Linked DNA regions of Astyanax mexicanus. The protein of the gene in region 1 interacts with the protein of each later gene in a pairwise test. Links are inferred from orthologs where the notes say so. Each region holds a gene or a part of one and is shown in the gene's direction. Other genes may lie near its edges.

Evidence for each region. The genes of interacting proteins can lie anywhere in the genome.
Region 2: the proteins of drg1 (region 1) and zc3h15 interact in binary tests that used the Homo sapiens proteins (3 or more experiments, as listed by UniProt). The two-hybrid records come from large-scale screens. The link is inferred for Astyanax mexicanus from reciprocal best matches to the Homo sapiens genes DRG1 and ZC3H15.
Region 3: the proteins of drg1 (region 1) and rwdd1 interact in binary tests that used the Homo sapiens proteins (3 or more experiments, as listed by UniProt). The two-hybrid records come from large-scale screens. The link is inferred for Astyanax mexicanus from reciprocal best matches to the Homo sapiens genes DRG1 and RWDD1.

What each region holds. Positions count from the first base shown.
Region 1 is NC_064427.1:20,149,736-20,157,037, forward strand, and holds the start of drg1 (developmentally-regulated GTP-binding protein 1), read left to right. Parts: upstream 1-4,301; 5' UTR 4,302-4,495; coding exon 4,496-4,534; intron 4,535-5,732; coding exon 5,733-5,856; intron 5,857-6,555; coding exon 6,556-6,731; intron 6,732-7,302. UniProt on the Homo sapiens protein: Catalyzes the conversion of GTP to GDP through hydrolysis of the gamma-phosphate bond in GTP. Appears to have an intrinsic GTPase activity that is stimulated by ZC3H15/DFRP1 binding likely by increasing the affinity for the potassium ions.
Region 2 is NC_064418.1:49,357,312-49,364,373, reverse strand, and holds the start of zc3h15 (zinc finger CCCH domain-containing protein 15), read left to right. Parts: upstream 1-4,036; 5' UTR 4,037-4,137; coding exon 4,138-4,212; intron 4,213-6,620; coding exon 6,621-6,722; intron 6,723-6,810; coding exon 6,811-6,913; intron 6,914-7,062. UniProt on the Homo sapiens protein: Protects DRG1 from proteolytic degradation. Stimulates DRG1 GTPase activity likely by increasing the affinity for the potassium ions.
Region 3 is NC_064411.1:31,734,728-31,741,757, forward strand, and holds the start of rwdd1 (RWD domain-containing protein 1), read left to right. Parts: upstream 1-4,004; 5' UTR 4,005-4,106; coding exon 4,107-4,179; intron 4,180-7,030. UniProt on the Homo sapiens protein: Protects DRG2 from proteolytic degradation.

The sequences.
Region 1 (7,302 bases):
CTTCCGATTCTTTTATTAGAGACTCCTGTGACGTGTATCTGATGCCTGGTGAATCGTTGCCAGTTGCTCGCATGTTCTGGACTGATCTATGATTTCTTTTGGATGCCCGACTCATCTGATGGCCTGATGCTGGAGAGACCAGTGCATTATGTAGCCTGACGAAGCAAAAACACCCCCCGGCCTGTTCCGGCAGGCCTACGAGGTTACACAATGTTCCAGATCGATGGTGGATCCAGCAATTTCACCAACATTTGAGTGATTATACTGTATGCAAAGTAAATATGAACAATAAAAAGAAACTATTTACCAAAAACAATTTGTGCTGCTGGTGTCTGAGTGCTGAGTTTGTATTGTTGTTTTTTTGTAATTTGTTTATTCGGTTTTTTAAATGATTGGTTAAACAGCTATGGAGGAACCAAAACTGCCAAAATTAAAGTAAGTAAATCACTCAATAAAAGTAATATGGTGATGTAAAACAGTAAGGAATAATTATGATTAATATAAAAATATATACATATACATACAAATAAAATCTTAATAATTTAAAATATGTTAATAATTTGTTTCTTTATTTTTTTTATTAATTTATTTATTTGCATATTTATTTCTGCATTATTTACAGATTTATTTATTTCTGTTTTTCCTTGTCCTTATATGATAATGAAGGGGGCGTGTTTTTCACGTACAGGTTTAGCAATCAAGAAAGAAAGGAGCTGATATGAGTAGAAGAGTCCAGGAGCTGAAACGTCGGGGAGAAGTTTGTTATCGGATCTGCTCAGAGAGGCAGTAGCTTATGTTGCTCACCTCAAAGAAATAGACCAGAGTCTGTATTACGATCTAAGTGATCTTCATTAAATAATTTTCCACGTTACCAAAGTTACTGCCAAAGGAGCAAAAAATGTACAATCCATCTAGGGTATCTGACATCGATTAACCAATAGGAATGCTAAGACACTGTGACATCATTACTGGACAGACCTCTCATTATCATATAAGGACAAGGAAAAACATAAATAAATAAACCGGGAAATAAATGAATGCAGAAATAAATAGTCATGTTAATAAATAAACAAATGAATCAAAATAAAAAAATATTTTAAATAATTTTAATAAAGACACCCCTAAATAACAATTTATACATAAATAAGATATTTATTTTTATATTATTTATAATTATTCTTTACTATTTTAATCACCGTATTACTTTTATTGAATGATTTACATACGTTTATATTTCTTTATTTATTTTTAATTTTGGCAGTTTTGGTCCTCCATAAACAGCATAGATCTCAGTTAACGCAGTGTTTTAAGTGAAATATATTATAAAAAAAAATAAAAAAAACTACAAGAGTAAAAGGGAAAAAATAAAGAAATAAAAGGCGGGAAATAAGAAAAAAGGTGGAAGAGGAAATAGAAAAACAAAACAAAAACCTTGACATATATATTTAGAGTACAACTTCTTAGCAGAGCCATTCATTGAGCACCTAATAGGAGAAGAGGATTTCTATCTATTTAGTATTAATCGTCTGGCCAGCAAAGTAAGTGCTGAGGTTTATGGGAGTATTAAGATTATTGCTGATTGTATTCTGTGAACATGTGACTGGTTGTTAAGCTGAATTGTATAAATATAAATATATTTTATGTAGTACGTACATGATTGGGGTACTTAAAAAAAGCTACTATTTTTCTACTATTAATATGTGTAATATCTGATACAAAATGTCTGTATATAATGTGTGATATATTGATTTCAAGTATGGACCCAGGCCCACATTTACTACAAAATGTAGTTCTACTTTTAAGGGGACCTATTATATACCATATTTTTACACAAGCTACAATATTGTAGATCTATGTGCTATACAAACATGTTCATTAAGTTTTTTTTAAGGAAAATCACACACACAGTCCCTTTCAGAATAAGCCATTAGGGCTCTGTCACTTTTATGCCAATAAGCTCTTGTTGGCAACACATGTTTACACTGAGCGTTTACCACACCTTAGTGTTAGCTTGTGCTAAATGGCATAACACTGTAATAGAAACAATTCTATAATTCATTATTTGAAAGTTCTTACATCTCCTGACTTGCAGCAGACAGTAGGTACAGATCCCTTCCTCAGACGAAGTCTGCAGGCTAATCCTGCTGTGTACCAGGGCTGGACTGGTAATCTGGTGTACCGGGCAAATGCCCGGTGGGCCGACAGTCCTTAGGGGCTGATGATTTTTTTCTTCGGCCCACAAATTAGAGGGGGTCTCTCTCTCGCTCCCTCGCTCGCCTAATCACGCGCTTTCTCTCTCTTTCTCTTACTGTCTCTCTCTCTCTTTTTCTCGCTCTTTCCCTTTTTTCTCTGTCTCTCGCTCGCTCTCTCTCTCTCTGTCTCTCTTTTTCTCCCTGGCTCTCTTTCTCTCTCGCTCTCTCTCTGATGTAAGTGATTGACACCACTTATATAATTTAATTGTATCAATTTAAAGCTGATATTTTTAAAAAAGAACACTAAAATGCATCCAGTAATAATGATAAAATATTAGTAGTTAAAGTAATGATGTTGTTTTTGTTTTTAATAAAGCGCCACAATCATGCCCATTGTTTGTTTGTTCTACCTAGATCAAAAGATCCTCTCATGATGAGAGTAGAAGTGAACCCTGGTTTCAAGCATTTAATAAAAGAGCTTGAGCCCTGTTACAACATTCCATCCCAAAAAAACAAAACATGACTAGAATAAAGTTAATTTTTATTATGAAGTTGATAATGGTGAGGCTATATAGAATGCCCTATTTGTAGCCTGATACAAGTACATGTTATAGCTGTTTAAAGGAGGAAGCACCTTTAACCTGAAAAAATAGAAATAAAACAAATACATATTAGAGATTATTTCAATAAAAAAGATAAAAAATCAATTGAACTACACAGAGCAGACACAAATGGCGGAGTTAAAATTAGACAATAAACGTGTTATATTTAATATGCTGATGATACATTATGCTTCTCTGTAACCCCACAAACATAAATTACATGTTGGTTGTGCTCCGCAAATTATGAGGGGCCGTTCTAAAGCAAAAATGCCAGGGCCGATTTTTTTGTCCCAGTCCAGCCCTGCTGTGTACTGTCTGAGGTTCTCAACCAGCAGACTGAAGTGGCGTTTCTTCAACTGATCTTGTGGGTGAGGCTCTGGTTAAGCATACATATATACAAAATACGTTTATGCATAACACTATTATATTATATGTGGGTTTTTATCCTTTAATAAATAAGCTGCAATTCTTTTTTTTTTTTTTCAAAAAACCCTTCAGCACAGCAGAGCATTTTAAAGATTTTAAATTCAGTGCTCTGGCTGTAGCATCAGCTCACCAACCAACCAATCAGCTCACAGTATCAGTGATGCAGCACCTTTACTGCCTAAAACCAGTTTACTGTAGAAAAACTGAATAATGTACAGGTAAGTTTTATACGCTTTTTTAGCAAAATCATTTTAATTTGAAAAATATATTTTTCGGAATATCCTGGCCAAATTATTAATTACTATTTTTAATTTGAGTTTTTAGCTGTTTAACTCCATTCACTCCCATTTATTGAGGACTCACTCGCTGGCTCCCTCTAGCGGTTCATAGTTATTTTCTGATATTAATATCAGAATATATGTATATATATATATAACTGATGCTCTCAAACACTTTATTAAGAGGCAAAAAATTCAACTAAGAGTAATTAGCTCTTTACAAGTTCAGCTGAACTGAAAGCCTGAATTTCAAGTGACAAGCTGACTGAAAAAATCCAGCAGAGATGTATAAATCTGACCATCTAAGCAAGAGGTGAAACTTTGAGGTATGTGAAATAAAAAAAACATATTCTGGTTTGTTTACAACAATTTTTCCATTATAATTTGTCTGAGTTTGGTATTAGTCTACAATGCAGAACATGTTGATACTGTATAGTAAACCCTGTTAAAACCAGGGATATTCCGCCAAATATTACTTACTAAACTCTTAAACTTTTTGAATATGAAGTTGTTTTCTTTGCATTATTTGAGGTCTGAAAGCTCTGCATCTTTTTTGTTATTTCAGCCATTTCTCATTTTCTGCAAATAAATGCTCTAAATGACAAAATTCTTATTTGGAATTTGGGAGAAATGTTGTCTGTAGTTTATAGAATAAAACAACAATGTTCATTTTATTCAAACATAAACCTATAAATAGCAAAATCAGAGAAACTGATTCAGAAACTGAAATGGTGGTCTCTTATGTTGCTGCACACAGCTGTATATGGTGACGGTGGCTGTGTGCAGCTGTTACTCCTGTCCAGCAGGTGGGGCTCTGTCTCCCTCCGCTCAGCGCCGGGAACCGCGAGGATCTACAGCACAGCATGTCAGAAGTCTGAGCGCGGCGGCTAAAACCCAGAAAATCCAACTTTACAGAGCCGAACAGAACCAGAACCGAGCCCGCTCCGCCTGATACAGCTCCCCCTGACCCGGTTCTGACCGACCCAGCGCCGCAAACATGAGTTTACTCGCTAAAATCGCAGAAATAGAGAACGAGGTTAGTGAGATTAGCCTGTTAGCATCGGGCCGCTACTCGCCTCCATTCATTTTTACAGCGCTTTATCTTCAATAAACTGATAAATACTCTTATTTTACTGCATTTATACTCACTGAGAAACTGTATTTAGCTGTTTATATTAATGTAGACCTTTTACAGTGCTCCTAATACTGCTAGGAAACACTGGGACCTGTTTAGAGTAAAAATATCTAAAATTAAATACTATAGAAACTATAAACATGAGCATATTACCACAAAATATACATCTAAAATTACGAATATTATGATGTTGTCTATTTAAGTTACTGTTCCAATATTTAAATAATGTTAAACATATGTATTGCAGGTTTAAGAAGCTGTAGTAGCATATATGACTGTAAATTATTGAGTACTGAAATTATTTTTGTAAAGAAAAAAAGTGTTTAACAAACCAGAATATATTTTTTAAAGTGGCACCTCTTGCATAACAGTTTTGCATATCTCAGCTGGATTGTCTCAGTCAGCTTTATGAGGTAGAGTCAACTGGAATTCAGGCTTTTAGTTAACAGCTGTGCTGAACTCATCAAGAGTTAATTACTTGAATTTCTTCTCCTCTTTATAAAGTGTTTGAGAGCATCAGTTGTAAAGTAGTGAAGAGGTATTGTTACAGGTATACAGTGAATAGTGAATATTTGAGTAATGTTCTAATCCAGATTATGAGAAGCAAGAACTACTCAACTAAATAATAAAAAACTCCTTTTAATAGAATAAAACAGTAAACTGTAGGAAAGAAAGTATCCTCAAGTGCAGTTTCTGCAAAGACCATAAAAAACGTTTTATAATGATGGAACTGGCTCTCATCAGGACCGCCCCAAGGAAAGGAAGAGCAATAGCAAGAGCAATCCTGTTGTACAGGATCAGTTCATCAAAATTACCAGCCTCAGAAACTGCAAGTTAGCAAACAGCTTCCAGAAAATAGCACCTAAACGTTTCACAGAGTATTTTGGTTTGTTTAACACTTTTAAGTTACCACATGCTTCCTTATGTGTTCCTTCATAGTCTGGATCACTTCATTATTCATTTACAATGTAGGAAAAACTAAAATAAATAAATAAATAAATTTGGGTGGGTTTCTGATGTTTACTGTTCAGAGTGCTGATATATGACTATTACATTTATAATATAAAGTGCTACAACTGTGTTTTATCTTGTACTACAGATGGCTCGTACTCAAAAAAACAAGGCCACAGCTCATCACCTGGGGCTGCTGAAAGCCCGACTGGCCAAACTCCGGAGAGAGCTCATCACTCCTAAAGGAGGCGGAGGAGGAGGACCTGGAGAAGGTACGAGCAGGGAGGCTTTTCTCTAAAACTGTGGAACTTCATATTATTAAGAAACTAAGATTAAGATTTATTCTAAAAACAGTGTAGAACTTCTAGGGTACACTTGTGATGATGATGATGATTATGTGTCTGTACACTTAGTTTACAGATTTGTATGAAGCAGCTATGAGAATTTTGGTTGTTTAATAATAAAGAATGTACTGAAATGAACATTTTGGATGTTTACATCAAGGTTCATATCAATTTAGTCCCTTTTTTTTACATTTTTATAAATTAAAAAGTTTATAAGTACTTTTGTCTTGCTTTTCAAAGCGAACATGAATACTCTGTAGAAATGACTTCGTCTTTTCTCTTATTGCCCAAAAATTAAAAATAAATCAAATCTAGTGTAGCTGCATATATTGCATATGTTTTTGTTTGCGTTGCATTTGCAAACATGCAAATCGGTAATCCGAATTGTTTAAAAATGATGTGATAGACCCCAATTTCCAATCACATGATCTTATTGGGAACATCCCTACTAGCAGTAATGTTTATATTGCAGTACCCAGACAGTCAGGGTCTCAAGCTCAAATTAATGAAGAAATACAGTTAAGACTAGTACAATAAATATAATATATAATATAATAAATTAAATAAGAAGAATAAGCTATGATAAGCTGAGTTCCTTATTAAAACACTAATTTTTATTTGTTTCAGGTTTTGATGTTGCGAAGACGGGTGATGCGCGTATCGGGTTCGTGGGCTTTCCCTCTGTGGGTAAATCCACGCTGCTGAGTAACCTGGCTGGAGTTTACTCCGAGGTCGCCGCCTACGAGTTCACCACGCTGACCACAGTGCCGGGAGTCATCCGCTACAAAGGAGCCAAAATCCAGGTTCTTACAACAGCTCTTACCTTTAAAACAGGCAAAACTACAGACAAAATCTGACTTCAACATCTGTCTTTATTAGAAGATATACTTTACACCATGTTTATACATAACAAAGTTTTAAACTGTCCGAAACTCCATAATCAAGTCTATTAGAGATCACTGAACACCTCCACACAACATAATGAGAGCCTGCGGTTATTACAGTGCTAACTAATGTGGTATAAAATTTCCATCAAGAGCTAAAATAGCCTTTTGTTTCAGCTGCAGGCACGAAATATGACTTTGCTGCTCAATTTTATTTTGGTTATTCATGATTTGAGAGAAATCATCTTAATTTTTTCAATTTACCTTTATTTTTACTCTGGGATATATTGAGGGTAATCTTAGCTGAGCCAAGTTTACAAACTAAAGGACTGAAAAAATAAGTAAATTAACATCAAAATCAACTTAAGCTAAAATAAGGAACTTAAAAAAAAAAAAACATTAAAAGGTAAAAACAATATAATCTTCAATTAATAAGAAATATAATAAAACAGAATACAAGGATAAGTGCACAGGCTAAAATGTAAAGCAG
Region 2 (7,062 bases), on another chromosome or scaffold:
GCTATCAAACGCCTTTACTTAAGGTGGCACCCAGACAAGAACTTGGACAATCCTGACCTGGCCAATGAAGCCTTCAAATATCTACAGAACAGAATCAAGGAGCTGGAGGGAGGGAAGACTGCAGGCAGCACATCTTCAGGTGGAGATCATTTCCGAGATTTCTGGTCCAGATGGAATGAAGAGGCCAGAAGGCACAGAAGGGGGAGAGAGCGATTTTATCAGAACAATTCTAGGAGGCACTATAACTTTTGGTCATATTTTACACCGAGGGACATGCCAAAACCAGACATTCCAGACAGAGAAGAAGCTAAGCGCTGGTACCGACAGGCAGAATGTGACCTCAGCGCTGCTCAGAGTGAACCTGCGGCGAGTCCTGAGTGGAATCTGTTTAAAGTGCATCAGGCCGTGGAAAAAGCCCTGATAGCCTCAGAGTACAGGAGAAAGGGACGACACTCCGGGAATGTCTCCATCACAGGTCTCGCCCAACAGATTTCCCACTACAGCCCCCACCTCAGTGAGGTACCCAGTGCTGTAGCCCAGCTCAGGACACTTGGTGTAGATGCCAAGAAAACTCAGTACCCAAACTGCCATCCACCACCCTGCATACCACACGATCAGTTCAGACATGAAGATGCAAGAGAAGCAGTGAAGATTGCAGCAGAGCTTCTGAAGAATGTAGAAAAATACATTACTGGATGAAGGATTAGTTTACTTGTTTACTGAGTGTTTGAAGATTGAATCTTCAGCACTGATTTACTTCTTTCTGAACCTAATCTAGAATAACTGATGTTGAAATGTAATTTAATTTACCATAATTTAAAATTAGTTCTTTCTTATTAGGGTTGTGCACTGCAAACCAATTACTATTCTAACTCCAGTGCTTTTTGGAACAACAGATTTTGTACATATTTGTTTTCTGTTAGGAATTATTGGGGTGCAACTGTTTGACATAATGACACAAAAATGCCAGTAACACTCAACCAACCATGTGGGGCATTACAACAAACATTTTTTAATACTTAAGAAACCACCTGAGGAACCACTGCAAGTATCCAGAATTACTATAGCAACTGCCTAGCATCCACCTAGCAACCACTAAACGATACCATAGCCACTGCATTAAATACCATAGCATCCCCACTGCAGTACTGTTGAAACAACACGATTAAGACTTAGCAACCACCTTTGATACTATAGCAACCAGCTAGCAACACCATATGAACCATTTAGGATACCATAGCATTTGTCTAGCATCCACCCTATCCAAGTCCTTGCAACCACTATACAACACTATAGACACCACCTGAAATAACATAGTAATTAATTCCATTGCAATGCTGCCAAGCAGTCACCTAGCAACCACTTAGCTACCACTTGGGGCACCAGGGCAACCAGCTTGCAACACTATATAAACCACCATAGATACCAAAGTGTCTGGCCAGCATGTACTTAGCAAAACCCTAACTACCACTAAACAACACCACAGCTACTACTGTAAATGCCATAGTTATTACATTGATACGCTGTAGCGGCCAACAAGCAAGCAGTTAGCAACACCTTAGAACCCACCTAAGATACCACAGCACGTGCCAAGAAAATACTTAGCAACACCTTAGCTACCACTAAGCAACACTATAAACACCACCTGAAATACCATAATTACACTGTTACCACTTAGGGTAGCATGGCAACCAGCTCACAAAACAATATTAATGACCTGAGATAACATAGCAGCCATGCAACTAAATGGGAACCTTTTTTTCGTTCTGATGGTGTTGTATGTGTTGTTTCTTCTATTTAGATTTTTTTTTCCATTTCTAACTGCCTTTTTTCTGACCTATTCATGTATTTCTACTAAGACAATAAATATCAAATGGAAAGACTGGTGTTTAAGTGTCTGGGTTTGTTTTATAATTAATCGTGTAGTCATATAGACAGTAAGGTTATATTGCTTTCATAAGAATATTTCATGTATATATATATATATATATATATATATATATATATATATATACATATGTATATATATGTGTATATATATATATATATATATATATATATATATATATATATATATATTCACCTAAATCTGAATTTCCAAGAGAGGTAAAAAAAAAAGGGTACTGCTGTATGTTAATATTGATGAGTGATCACGTACTTTAATATAATATTTAATAATATATATATTTTTAAATATTATAATATTTAATATTGGTTCTGTGAGGTCAAACTGTCCCTAAGCAAAACACTTCTGCAGAAAAAAGCACATTATAACAAGACAACAAGTGTGTACAGTAAATTGCTGACAATTAGCTAGTAGTAATTGGCTGTAGTAAATTTTACAGTATGCATACTGTACACTTTATCACAGTACCTATTAAACAGTAACAAATACAGTACTGTTTTTTTTTATAATCACAGGCTGTTGTATTTTTTCACAGTAAATATTAGACAAAAATTAAATGCATTACTGCATTAATTTAAACATGTTTTTCAGAAAAGTCTATTTACATTTACCAATTTCATACCCTTACCAAAAAGGTCCCGCGGGATTCCTGCAAAAATGTGCAGGTACTACCTGCAGGGGTTGTGTAAGGGATCTTTCTGCAGAACTTTAATCCTAAAGGATTTTCAATGATTGTTTTCCAGCTAACACTTGAAGCAGATACAAAATTAACAAAAAAGAATCATGATGTAATATTAATTGTATTAATATTCTTTATAATATAATATACTAGTTTATATTAAAGTAATCCTATATTGTTTCAAGCAAAGTTACTTTTTACTTGTATATTAAACCAAACAACGATGCCTTGTTCAAATTATGAATACACTCAAGGTTATAAGGCACCCACGAAAATGAGTTGAAATAAATTAAGGTGTTACAGTTAGTAACATAGAAAACCGCTCAGTGGTCTTACTCTGACATAATTTGCTGTTATTTTGCAGCACTCTGTTTCTATGTTTGCTATTACACTCCATTAGTTTTTTTTTAATTAAAAATACATATTTTATTAGTTTTACTGAAACATATTTTATTAATAAACTTGTCAAACAAGTAAAACCATCGAAGCAAAGTGCTAAATATGCAGCTGCTATATAAATGATTAAAATGTAATCAATTTTTATACTGCAAAAAAACTTAAATTATATTGACTGTAATCCATGTACAGTAACATTTATTCATTTGATATTCAATTGGAAATTCCACCTTAAATGCTTATTGCAGTAACACACACAGTCATCCTTATTTAAGGTGGAATGGAAATACTAATAAGAAAATAGTGAAGAATGTAATATTGAATTGAATATCAAATGAACTAAGTTAATGACACACTGATTTACTGTCTTAGGCATTTTTAAGACCATTGGGAGACCAATTTAAGACATTTTAAGACAAAGGAATGACTTTTACTGCACTTTTTTGGGCAGGAAAAGGTTGCTGACAGACTAACCTACTAGGTTAACTAGCGTTAGTTATTTAATGCTTAAAATGTTAAGGTTACCCAGAGACGACCCAGAGATACAACTAGATTTTATTTATCTTAAGTCTACCGAATTCTTAAATCATACTAACTTACCAAAATAATCTATTTTCTTACCTTTAAAATTCTAAATTTTACCCTGCCTCAGTCCATTTTCAGTAATGTTAGTAAGCTAATCTAGCCTTAGCCTAGCATAGCTAGCCTAGCATTTACCTCAGAAAAACCTTCGAGTTTTTTGTTGAAATCATTATTCTTTTCAGTCACAGTGCTTTGAGTAGCAAAGATAATCATAATATGCCTTAGAGATGATAGTAAATAAGTTACTACTAATAAAAGTTCGATATGTAAGTAGTAAATGTTAATAAAATAAATGTTTACCTCATAAAGGTTGCATTTTAATGATTTTCAAACGCACGAAATATCAAACCAATATAAACATTTTCTTTGGGGTTTAATGAGTTTTAATAAAGATATAACCCACTTCAACTTTCACTTTATATTTACCTGCATTTTTGCTGCCCCCTTTCGACACACACACTCTCTCACACACACTTTTACACACGTTAGCCTCCCCCTACACACACATTAGTGCAGCCGTGCTGAGCACCGCGCCGCGCAGCGCCGGGACCCGGGTGTTTTTACAGCCGCCGAAATGCCTCCAAAGAAACCCGCTCCAGCCACAGGCAGCAAAAAGACCCAGGAGAAGAAGAAGGAGAAGATTATTGAGGTCGGTGGCGGATAAACCGCGAAAACTGGGCTCATACTGACCCGCTGCTGCCCGGCCATGCTCCAGACCCTGGCCCGGCGGTCTACCTTAATTTAGCTTAGCCTAGCTTAGTTTAGCATCTTTAGCGCCAAAGCAGACGTAACGTAGCTTAGCATAGCTACTATAGGATCTGGCCGTGAGTTAACCTAACATAAATGAGCTAAGCTATCTTCAGCGCCAAACCAGATGTAATTTAGCATAGCTTAGCATAATTGCTATTATAGCTTAGGTTAGCATAACATAGTTACGGTAGGATTTGACCGTAGCTTAGCTTAGCACAGTTACTATAGAATTTGGCCTTAGCTTATTTTAACATTTATTCAGCGCGGAAGCAGATGTACTTTAGCTTAGCTTAGCTTAGCTTAGCATAGTTAGCCTAGCTAACTCTTTCCCCAACACGTCAACCCGGCTTGCTGGTGACAGCTCAAAACTCCCATAGCTAGCTAATCGATGACCGGAATGTATTGACAAGTGACCTAATCGATAAAATAGCGCTTATTGATTAGAGCTTATTTCATATGTATAGCTTTAACATGGATATAAAGCTAATTCTATTATCCTTAGGGCTGCATTTGGTTGGCTAGCTAACGATAGCTAACTCGCTTCTAGAAGCGTTGAATGGTGTGGTTAGCTTAGCTAGCTATAGATAGTTGGAAGTTGGCTAGCTAGCTACAGTAGTAGCATACATTCTATAAAATATAGATATAAACATTTTTAATAAGCCAGCTCAGATTAATCTTATGGATAACTGCTTAATAGTATGTCGAATAAGCAAAGAAGCAGTGATTTAGCTGAAAGTTAGTTAACTAAAAAGAACATTTTAGCAATTCCTAGCTTTAGCTCGCTAGTTTTTCAGTGTGTTAGGCCTGATCCTCATGGCTTTCTGTGAACACTAAAACACCCTTCTCATAACATATAATATATAATGTGCTTTCTATACATTGATATAGTGGTTTTAAAGTATTAATATATTATTATATTATCCATCAGTTCATTAAACTGTTCCCTTTTTTAACAGATCTATTTAACAATCTGTTCTCTCAGTTAAATAATTTGTTCCCTCAGTTTAGTAAATCACTCCCTTGATTTAATGATTAAATTGTTCAGTTTAATAAATTAAACAAATCTTTTAAATTTGTCAGTCTTGACAAAGACATTCATCATTTGTGTTGGACAGTGGACACAGACTTCCATTTAATGATACCAAGCCATTATAAAGTACCAAGGTGGGGGAAAAAGAAATCTGGAGATTTAGAAGTTGTTTTTCTAGCTTAATAAATTGTTAAATATCTTGTTTCCTCAGTTCAATAAAGCATATCCTGGTTTAGGTGTTCTGTAAATAGGTGTATATTACTGCATATGAAATTATGTAATTTAAAAGAACTAGCGGTCTTCTGGTGCCTTCCCACACTCTTTATATACCTTTATCTCTCTTGAATTCCACCAGTTTTTTAAAGTAAATTATTTCCTGCAATTTTGTTAATTTGAACGGACAGGTTATTAAACTGAGAAACAGTTAACAAGGTTTCAGACATAAGGGAGTACTCTTAATATTGTACTTAATAATTTGTTTAATAGGGACAGTGCTTTAATTGGATTAATTGGTTAAATAACAAAGTTACTTACTTGGATTAAAATTGTAATAGACTTGTTTATCAAAAACATGTGCAGATATGTAATATTTATATTATATAATACAGTATTTTAATATACATTATTTACAGAATCTGTCACGGACTGATGTTTATTACAGAGATAATTACATGAATTGGCAAATTCTTTTGTCAGAAATGTGTAGGTAGACATTGCATCCATTGTGGGCATTTTTCTGTAGCTTTTATTTGTTCATCAATGGAAATTAGAAAATACAGTAACAGTAAATCTTTGGACACCTTCCAAAGAAAAAAAAAATATTTTTTTTTTATGTTTTTCAAAATGTTTTGCATTGTAGATTAATATTAAAGTAACTCAAGCTATAACAACATAAATCAGAAGACTGTTAAACAAAGCAACATATGTTTTATATTTTAGACTTTTCAAAGTAGCACCTCTAGTTAGGCTTTCAGTTTACAGCTGTGCTGAACTCATCAAGAGTTAATTACTTAATTGAACTACAAGTTAACTGCAACCCAGATAAGAGCATCTAAATGCTTTACACACTATTTTGGTTTGACACTTCTAAGTTACAACATGATTCCTTATGCATTTTGTTTTAGAGACGTTCAGCTGTAAAAGAAATATCTTGTCCTGTTCACCTCCACTGTGCATTTGTGTCATATATTTTTTTTGTCATACATACATTTGATAACCATTAAATAATTAAGAGATGTTAGAATGTACTCATTCGGGTCTGTTGTTGTTTGTCACAGGATAAGACGTTTGGACTGAAGAACAAAAAGGGAGCCAAACAGCAGAAATTCATCAAAACAGTCACACAACAGGTTAAATATGGGCAGCAGAACCCACGGCAGGTAAGGGCTGGGCTAAATGCCACATCTTTGACCTGATTTAGACGTTTCGGCAGGTTTGCAGTCTTTTGATTATTGTTATATTTATCAGGCGGCCGAAGCTGACAAGTCTAAGAAAACTGACAAGAAGAAAGAGCTTTCTGAGCTGAACGAGCTCTTTAAGCCTGTGGTGGCAGCGCAGAAAGTCAGCAAAGGTAATGCCTGCTGTTATAGCTACAACATGAACCTATTAAAACAGTGCTTAAGAAAGAGTATAGAGTAAAGCCCTGGGTATTGAGCTGTAGAGCAGTAGAGCTCTATCCAATACTTTTGGATGCTCCAAAATCTAGTAGAACTTCTTTAT
Region 3 (7,030 bases), on another chromosome or scaffold:
AACAGTTATTTTGTTTAAAATCAAGTACATTTTTTGTTCAAAATTATTTATATTATGTATAAATGTTGATATTTTAAATGACTTTAATCTATTTTATTGATTCGATATGCTTAGTACTTTTAATATGGTTTAACTTGAAATTAGAAGGAAGGGGTACGGACACATAACGGTGATGAGAATTTCCATATATATTTTTTTTAATTAATTTATATAAAAATAATTTTCTATGATAATGAAAACAATTGATCCATACAGTACTACCTATTTGCTTTACACACAATATCAGAGTTTTTGTGAATTAAGTACTGATTTTAAAAATTGTCATGGACATGTTGCATGCAGCTTCATGAGAATCACCCATAACACCGATTAAGCAGCTTATAAAGCCAGACCTTGTAACAAGTGGGAACACGTAATTAGGTCGACACATGTCAATTGGGATCGGCCTATACTGGAATGTGAGGAAGAGCAAGAGGAACTGCTGTAGATCACCTAGTCTGGGGATGACTTTAAGGTTATGATGTCACTTCCTCCTTTGATAGAGTTCATCTCATTAGCCGCCTGGGTGGCAGAGGGGCTGTGAGAGAATTTTTCCTGTCAAAATAGGTTGGAAGGCTGCCGCGACAGGTTTTCGCTCTCACATTTTAGTACAATGTTCACTCACATGTTGATCAAGGGTTGAACATATGTAAATACATGATTGGAGGAATTACGGTTTGTCGACGTATCTGTTTGATACGTCGAAAGGGGGAATTGTGGGAAATCTTACGAAGAAACCTCGTTTTACCTTGAATATATTGACAAACATCTCACAATCATGATTACTTATCTTGGTATCTAAAATTACATAATCATCGTGTGAAACCTTGTATTTTATATGCACTAACCAATACTCACACTACATTTGATCATTTCATAACTATTTTATATGCATTAACCAATGTTAACACTATATTTGATCATTTTATTACTCACAGTATATTTTTTACACATTTATATAGAAAACTAATAGTGAAGCATTGTTTTTAACAAGCATGTGACTAAACACAGGCCTTAGGCTGACAAACTAACCCACATGATACATAAACGTATAGACCTAATTGTATAGCGGACAATCACGCGCCACTGACACCTCACTGAAACCCATTGTGTGATTGCATGTTTTTCTCACTAACAGCTACAAAATCAGCAGATAGTGCATTCTGCATGACCTCGCTTAATACAGAGACTTTTGGGCAGACAATACGGTCTTTCTCTCTCCGTGCGCGTGAAGACCTCCACCTGTCAAATTGAGGAGGGCATGCGCACGGGGAGAGAAACATTGTCTAATTACTGAACAATGCCGTGCTGTCTGGCTACTCATTCTCAAGGCCATACACTAGCGAATCTTGAGCTCTAACACGTAACACCATGCCTGCTGACATGGGATGATTTTTAGCAACGCCTCATCGGCAGATTTCGCGTCATTTTTGGTATATACATGGAGTCAGATCATTAGAGGTTCAGAACGTATGCTGGACGGTCGTAACCGTGTTTGTATGTTCTCCTGAATTCAGTAATAAATACTTGTTTTGCTTTCAACTTCACCTCCATCTGTTTTGACTCTCTATTCAACGAACGCGCATGGGAGTTGTAGCGGACACACCTTGTAAATTCATTTCTACAACAGCTGGAATGGCAGAACTTCAGAATCTTCCATACCTGATCTGATCAATGCTTTCTTATCTCCTCACAGCAATACTACAACACCAAGTATTGCTGGGCAGCGCTAAGTTGCTCATCTTTGGCACTCCGGCCTCTGGAGGGGAAGCAGCTAGCCGCAGGTTTCTATCGTGCAGCCAGAGCACAGACAGGAAACCCTGAGTAGGTTTACGACCACATAAAGGAAGGAAATGCAGACTTTGATAGTGTGGTTTTCATCAGCAGAAAGACAACATACATTAGTAGTCTAACATGAGTGTGCAGATTCTAACTGTAGCTAAAGTTAACTAAATGCTCTTGCATATTAATGTTTGAGATTTGAATCATTTGGACTGCACCACTAGCATCCGCATTTGTATGTAGTTGTAGTAATGCAAACCAATAAGGATGCAATGACAACTAATCAACACTTAGTAGCAGCAATGCCACCCAATCAGCATTCAGTAGCAGCAATGCCATCCAATCAGCACTCAGTAGCAGCAATGACAACTAATGAACACTCAGTAATAGCAATGCAAACTAATCAGCACTCAGTAGCAGTAATAATGCAAACCAATCAGCACTCAATAGGGGCTATGACAACTAATCAGCACTTAGTAGCAGCAATGCAAACCAATCAGCACTCAGTAGCAGCAATGCAATCGAATGAGGACTCAACAATTCAGACTAATCAGCACTCAGTAGCAGTAATGCAAACCAATCAGCATGCAGTAGCAGCAATGACAGACAATCAGCATTCAGTAGCAGCAATGCAAACCGGTAATGACAATGGTACTCAGTACTCAGAAGCAGCACTGCCATCCAATCAGCACTCAGTAGAAGAAGTGCCATCTAATCAGTACATTAGCAGGAACAACAACCAATCAGGACAGAGTAACAGAAGCGTCATCTAAGTGTACTCAGCACTCAGTAGCAGTAAGTCTAAACATACAACAATCAGTGCTCAATAGCAGTAACACCAACCAATCAGCATGCAATAGCAGTAACACCAACCAATCAGCACTATGGAGAAAAAATCTGATTTAAGTAGCATTCCATTTAAACAATTAATTTTACTGTGTACTTTGGTTACTTGCAAGGTCTTTTAATAATGCATAGTCATAAGAAATTACCAGGTGCCTCTAAAACTGTTTAAACTGTTTAAAATCAGTACGTTACTAACTTATTTTTTTCAACTCGTAGTTGTAGTGTTTATATATTTGCTAAATAGCACTAAAGTGTTTTTTACCTGAATTGTTTTAATGCGATCAGCGGATAGCGCTTTTTAACAACATTATTCTCGGCCAAGAGCTGTTTGAGCACTTTATGCACTATAACTAGGACACTTACCTAGTGACCTCGCTAGAGCGCAGTGTGTCTGCGTTCTGTATTCTTACCGACTTGTAATGTCTCTTACTGTGGCCGCGTCCCATTAAGAATGAGTAGTGGCTTACTTTAAGAGTACATTTCAGGATCGTTTTACTTTGATATAGTTATTATAGTTTAGTATAATTAATATTACTTATATGGCTTATTGTATTATTTATTGTATCGTCAATACAATCTCTACACTGTGGCATCATCAAACAATTAAAACGATTTTTTTATTTATAACTGGTTAGACTGCGTGCTAACTTACAGCTTGTAAACTAGCCAACTAGAAAACTTTTAAATTGTATAGTGATATGTATTAAAATGTAAATTTGTACATGTTGTAATGGGACGCGGCCACAGTTCTTAGTCACAGACCTTAGTAGTCGATATAGATAAAATCGTTTTTTTTTTTTTTTTTTGCTGAAGGCGCAGATAAAGCCTGAGCCCAATTCATATCTCAGTAAATTACAGCACACCGCCAAAGGGAGCCCGCGAGAAAGCTCAGAAGTAATGGGGCGAATAAAACTAACTAACTACTTAGCCTGGATATTCCTTTAATTTTGGAACGTAAAATAAACTATTTTGCTTAAAAAAAAAAAAAAACAAGTAAAGAAATCTTACATGTTTACTTTTTCTGCGCTAGAAATGCGCACGCTCTCCGCTTTTAGACTCTTTGGCTCGTTTCTGACACCTAGCGTCTTTGAATCTCACATTATAAAAAACAGCGGGCCAACTTTCATTCTATTTCTAAAATACCTCGCGGGCCGCTCCAAAAAGGAAACGGGCCGCAGTTCGGACGCCCCTGCTTTAGTTCTTCTATATTAAACGGGTTTTAGTCAGTAAAAGCGCTACATTAAATTAGTATGAACTGAACTTTCAGACGTTAACTGCTAAAGCAGTGCACCTATACCCGTGTGAATTGGGACGCGGTCAGAGTTTCAGGCATTACTAGTCGATAGTGGAGAAGATCGAGTGCAGCCTCTCTTCAGCGGACAGGCACGTTTCTGAGGGCCGGTGGGAGCGGAGCTGTTGATGGACAGCAGTGAAATAAAATGACCGACTACGGAGAGGAGCAGCGGAACGAGCTGGAGGCGATAGAGTCCATTTACCCAGACTCGTTTACAGGTGCGGCTCAGTGGTGGGGTTAGCCTAGTAAGCTAGCTGTTAGCCCGGCTGGCTGCTCCACTCTCCCTACTGGAGCTTCAGAGCAGCGGCTAGAGCTAACCCTGTGTTCTGTCGAGTTGTGCTACCCTGTCAAATCGTGCTACCCTAGTGTATGTTTAACTGTAAAAATACAAATAATTAGAACATGCTGCATGCAGTTGTGTTGTTGGTATGATCAAATTTGAATAGCCTAAATCGCTGTATCAGGAAAAATGTATAATATAACGTTAGGTGGTTTAAAATGTAAAAAACATTTATATATACATTTTTTATTACTTTTTTTTTACACGGTTGTAACACTAAAGCAAGCGATGACTGTGAGTCCAGATTGTACAGTGCACCCGGGAAAAATAAAACTAAATTGGCAGGAAAAAATAGAAAAAGCACATGAAAACAGTAAAAGTGTGAGTTTTGCGCATGCGCAGAGCCGCTAAGTAGCGCATATCGAAGGGTAGCACAACTCGACAGAACACCCCGGCTCGGTTAAACTAGCCTGGCCTAGTTTAGTTTAGTTAATTTAAGCTAAACTAAGTGTAATTCCTGGTTGTCTAATATGAGTAAGATGTGTTTTTTAAACGCTGTAAATGTGAGCAGGGTCTGCGTGGAGCTTAATCTAACAAAGTTACTGAAATTATCCGTTCCACCTTAAAAATAACTGTATTTCTATGCCACTGCTGTAGCAGTTGACGTGTATTATTGTGTCGGCTAACGTAGTTATGTTGCTTAAGCTAGCTAACCTGGCTTAGTTAAGTTTAATATGTGGCTATATGAGAGTAAATTATGGTTTATGCTGTGTGGAGCTTTATCTAACAAAGTTATTGGAGTTCTCTGTTCCACCTTAAATGAGCAGTAGTTATACGCGATTGCTATACCATTTAAGGTGGAACTGTAAAGTAGCTAGTTTAATTGGTGGCTGTTTGGAAGTACATTAGGGTTTAAATGCTATGAATGTGAGCAGGGCGCTTGTATGAATTCAATAACTAACAAAGCTATTAAAATTCTCTTATTAAAGTTCTCTTAAAATGAACAGTAGTCAAACGCGACTGCTTTATAATTTAAGGTGGATCGGGGAATTAGCTGACTTAAGTTTAATATGTGGCTATGAGAGTTCTCCGTTACACCTTAAAATGACCAGCAGTTATACCCCGCTTCTATATTATTTAAGGTGGAACGGAGAATTAGCTTATCAGCTAACGTAAAGTAACTTGTTAGCTAGCTAAGTAACTTAGCTCGGTAAGCTGACATGTTGTACCTTAGTTAACGAACCTACATAACGCTAGCCAGTTAAGCTAGGTGTAATGTGTGGTTATATAAGAGTAAAGTGGGGTTTAAAAGGTTGTGAATGTGAGCATGGTGTTTCTATGAAGGCTGCGTGGAGCCTTAACAAAATTCCCATGACAAAGTTATTGGAATTTACGTTACACCTTAAAAGTAGCAGCAGCTATATGAATCGCTGTACCATTTAAGGTGGAATGGTGAATTAGCTTGTCAGCAACGTTAGTTATTTAGTTAGTTAGGTAGCTAAGTAGCTGGCTAGGTTAGCTAAAACACAAGTACCCAGACAACATGCCCATGTGGAGCTTGTGTGGGTAGCAAAACGTTTGGCCCCCAGATGTAATGTTGGCCCCTCATGTGGATGTCAGTGAGGGGACCAGGCAGGCCCCATCTGATCTGTACACTGCATATGTGGCCTAGTTGGGACCCACCTGCAAAGGTGTCAAAAGTATTCACATTAATTACTCAGGTAGAAGTAAAGATTCTAAGGTTAAAAATACTTCTGTTGAAGTATCTGTTGAAGTTGAAGTATCAACTCTACTCGCTTCTTATTCAAATAAAAGTGTAAAAGTACTGCTTTCAAAACTAATTGAAGTATAAAAGTAAAAGTAATGTACCTTAGGACATTTCGCTTAAGTTCTCGTAAGTCTCTGTACAGATTTTCTTCATACTAGATTACATACAGGGGTTGGACAATGAAACTGAAACACCTGTCATTTTAGTGTGGGAGGTTTCATGGCTAAATTGGAGCAGCTTGTTGGCCAATCTTCATTAATTGCACATTACACCAGTAAGAGCAGAGTGTGAAGATTCAATTATCAGGGTAAGAGCACAGTGTTGCTCAAAATATTGCAATGCACACAACGTTATGGGTGACCTACCAGAGTTAAAAAAAGGACACATTGTCGGTGCACGTCTTGCTGGCGCATCTGTGACCAAGACAGCAAGTCTTTGTGATGTATCAAGAGCCACGGTATCCAGGGTAATGTCAGCATACTACCAAGAAGGACCAACCACATCCAAGAGGATTAACTGTGGACGCTGTAAGAGAAAGCTGTCTGAAAGGGATGTTCGGGTGCTAACCCGGATTTTATCCAAAAAACCACGGCTGCTCAAATCACGACAGAATTCAATGTGCACCTCAACTCTCCTGTTTCCACCAGAACTGTCCGTCGAGACAATAAATTATTGTGGTCTAAAACCAGGTGTTTCAGTGTCATTGTCCAACCCTTGTATGTCTGCTATGTTCTTGCTGGAGTGTGGGCGTGACGTGTGCAGGTGTGATTGTATAAATCAATAGGGTGTTGGAATGGTATATGTTTATACTTCTCATCCCACCACAGTCAGATTTACTCTTTCTGGATGAAGAGGTTTATCTGGATAGGGTTTTTTATAAGATGCAATTAAAACAAGCTAAAATTAAATAGGAGTAACAAGGCTAGTTTTAAAATGTAAGAAGTAGAAAATTCAGATAATTGTGTGAAAATGTAGAAGTAAAACTGTGTCAGAAAAATATTTACTTTAGTAAAGAATAGAT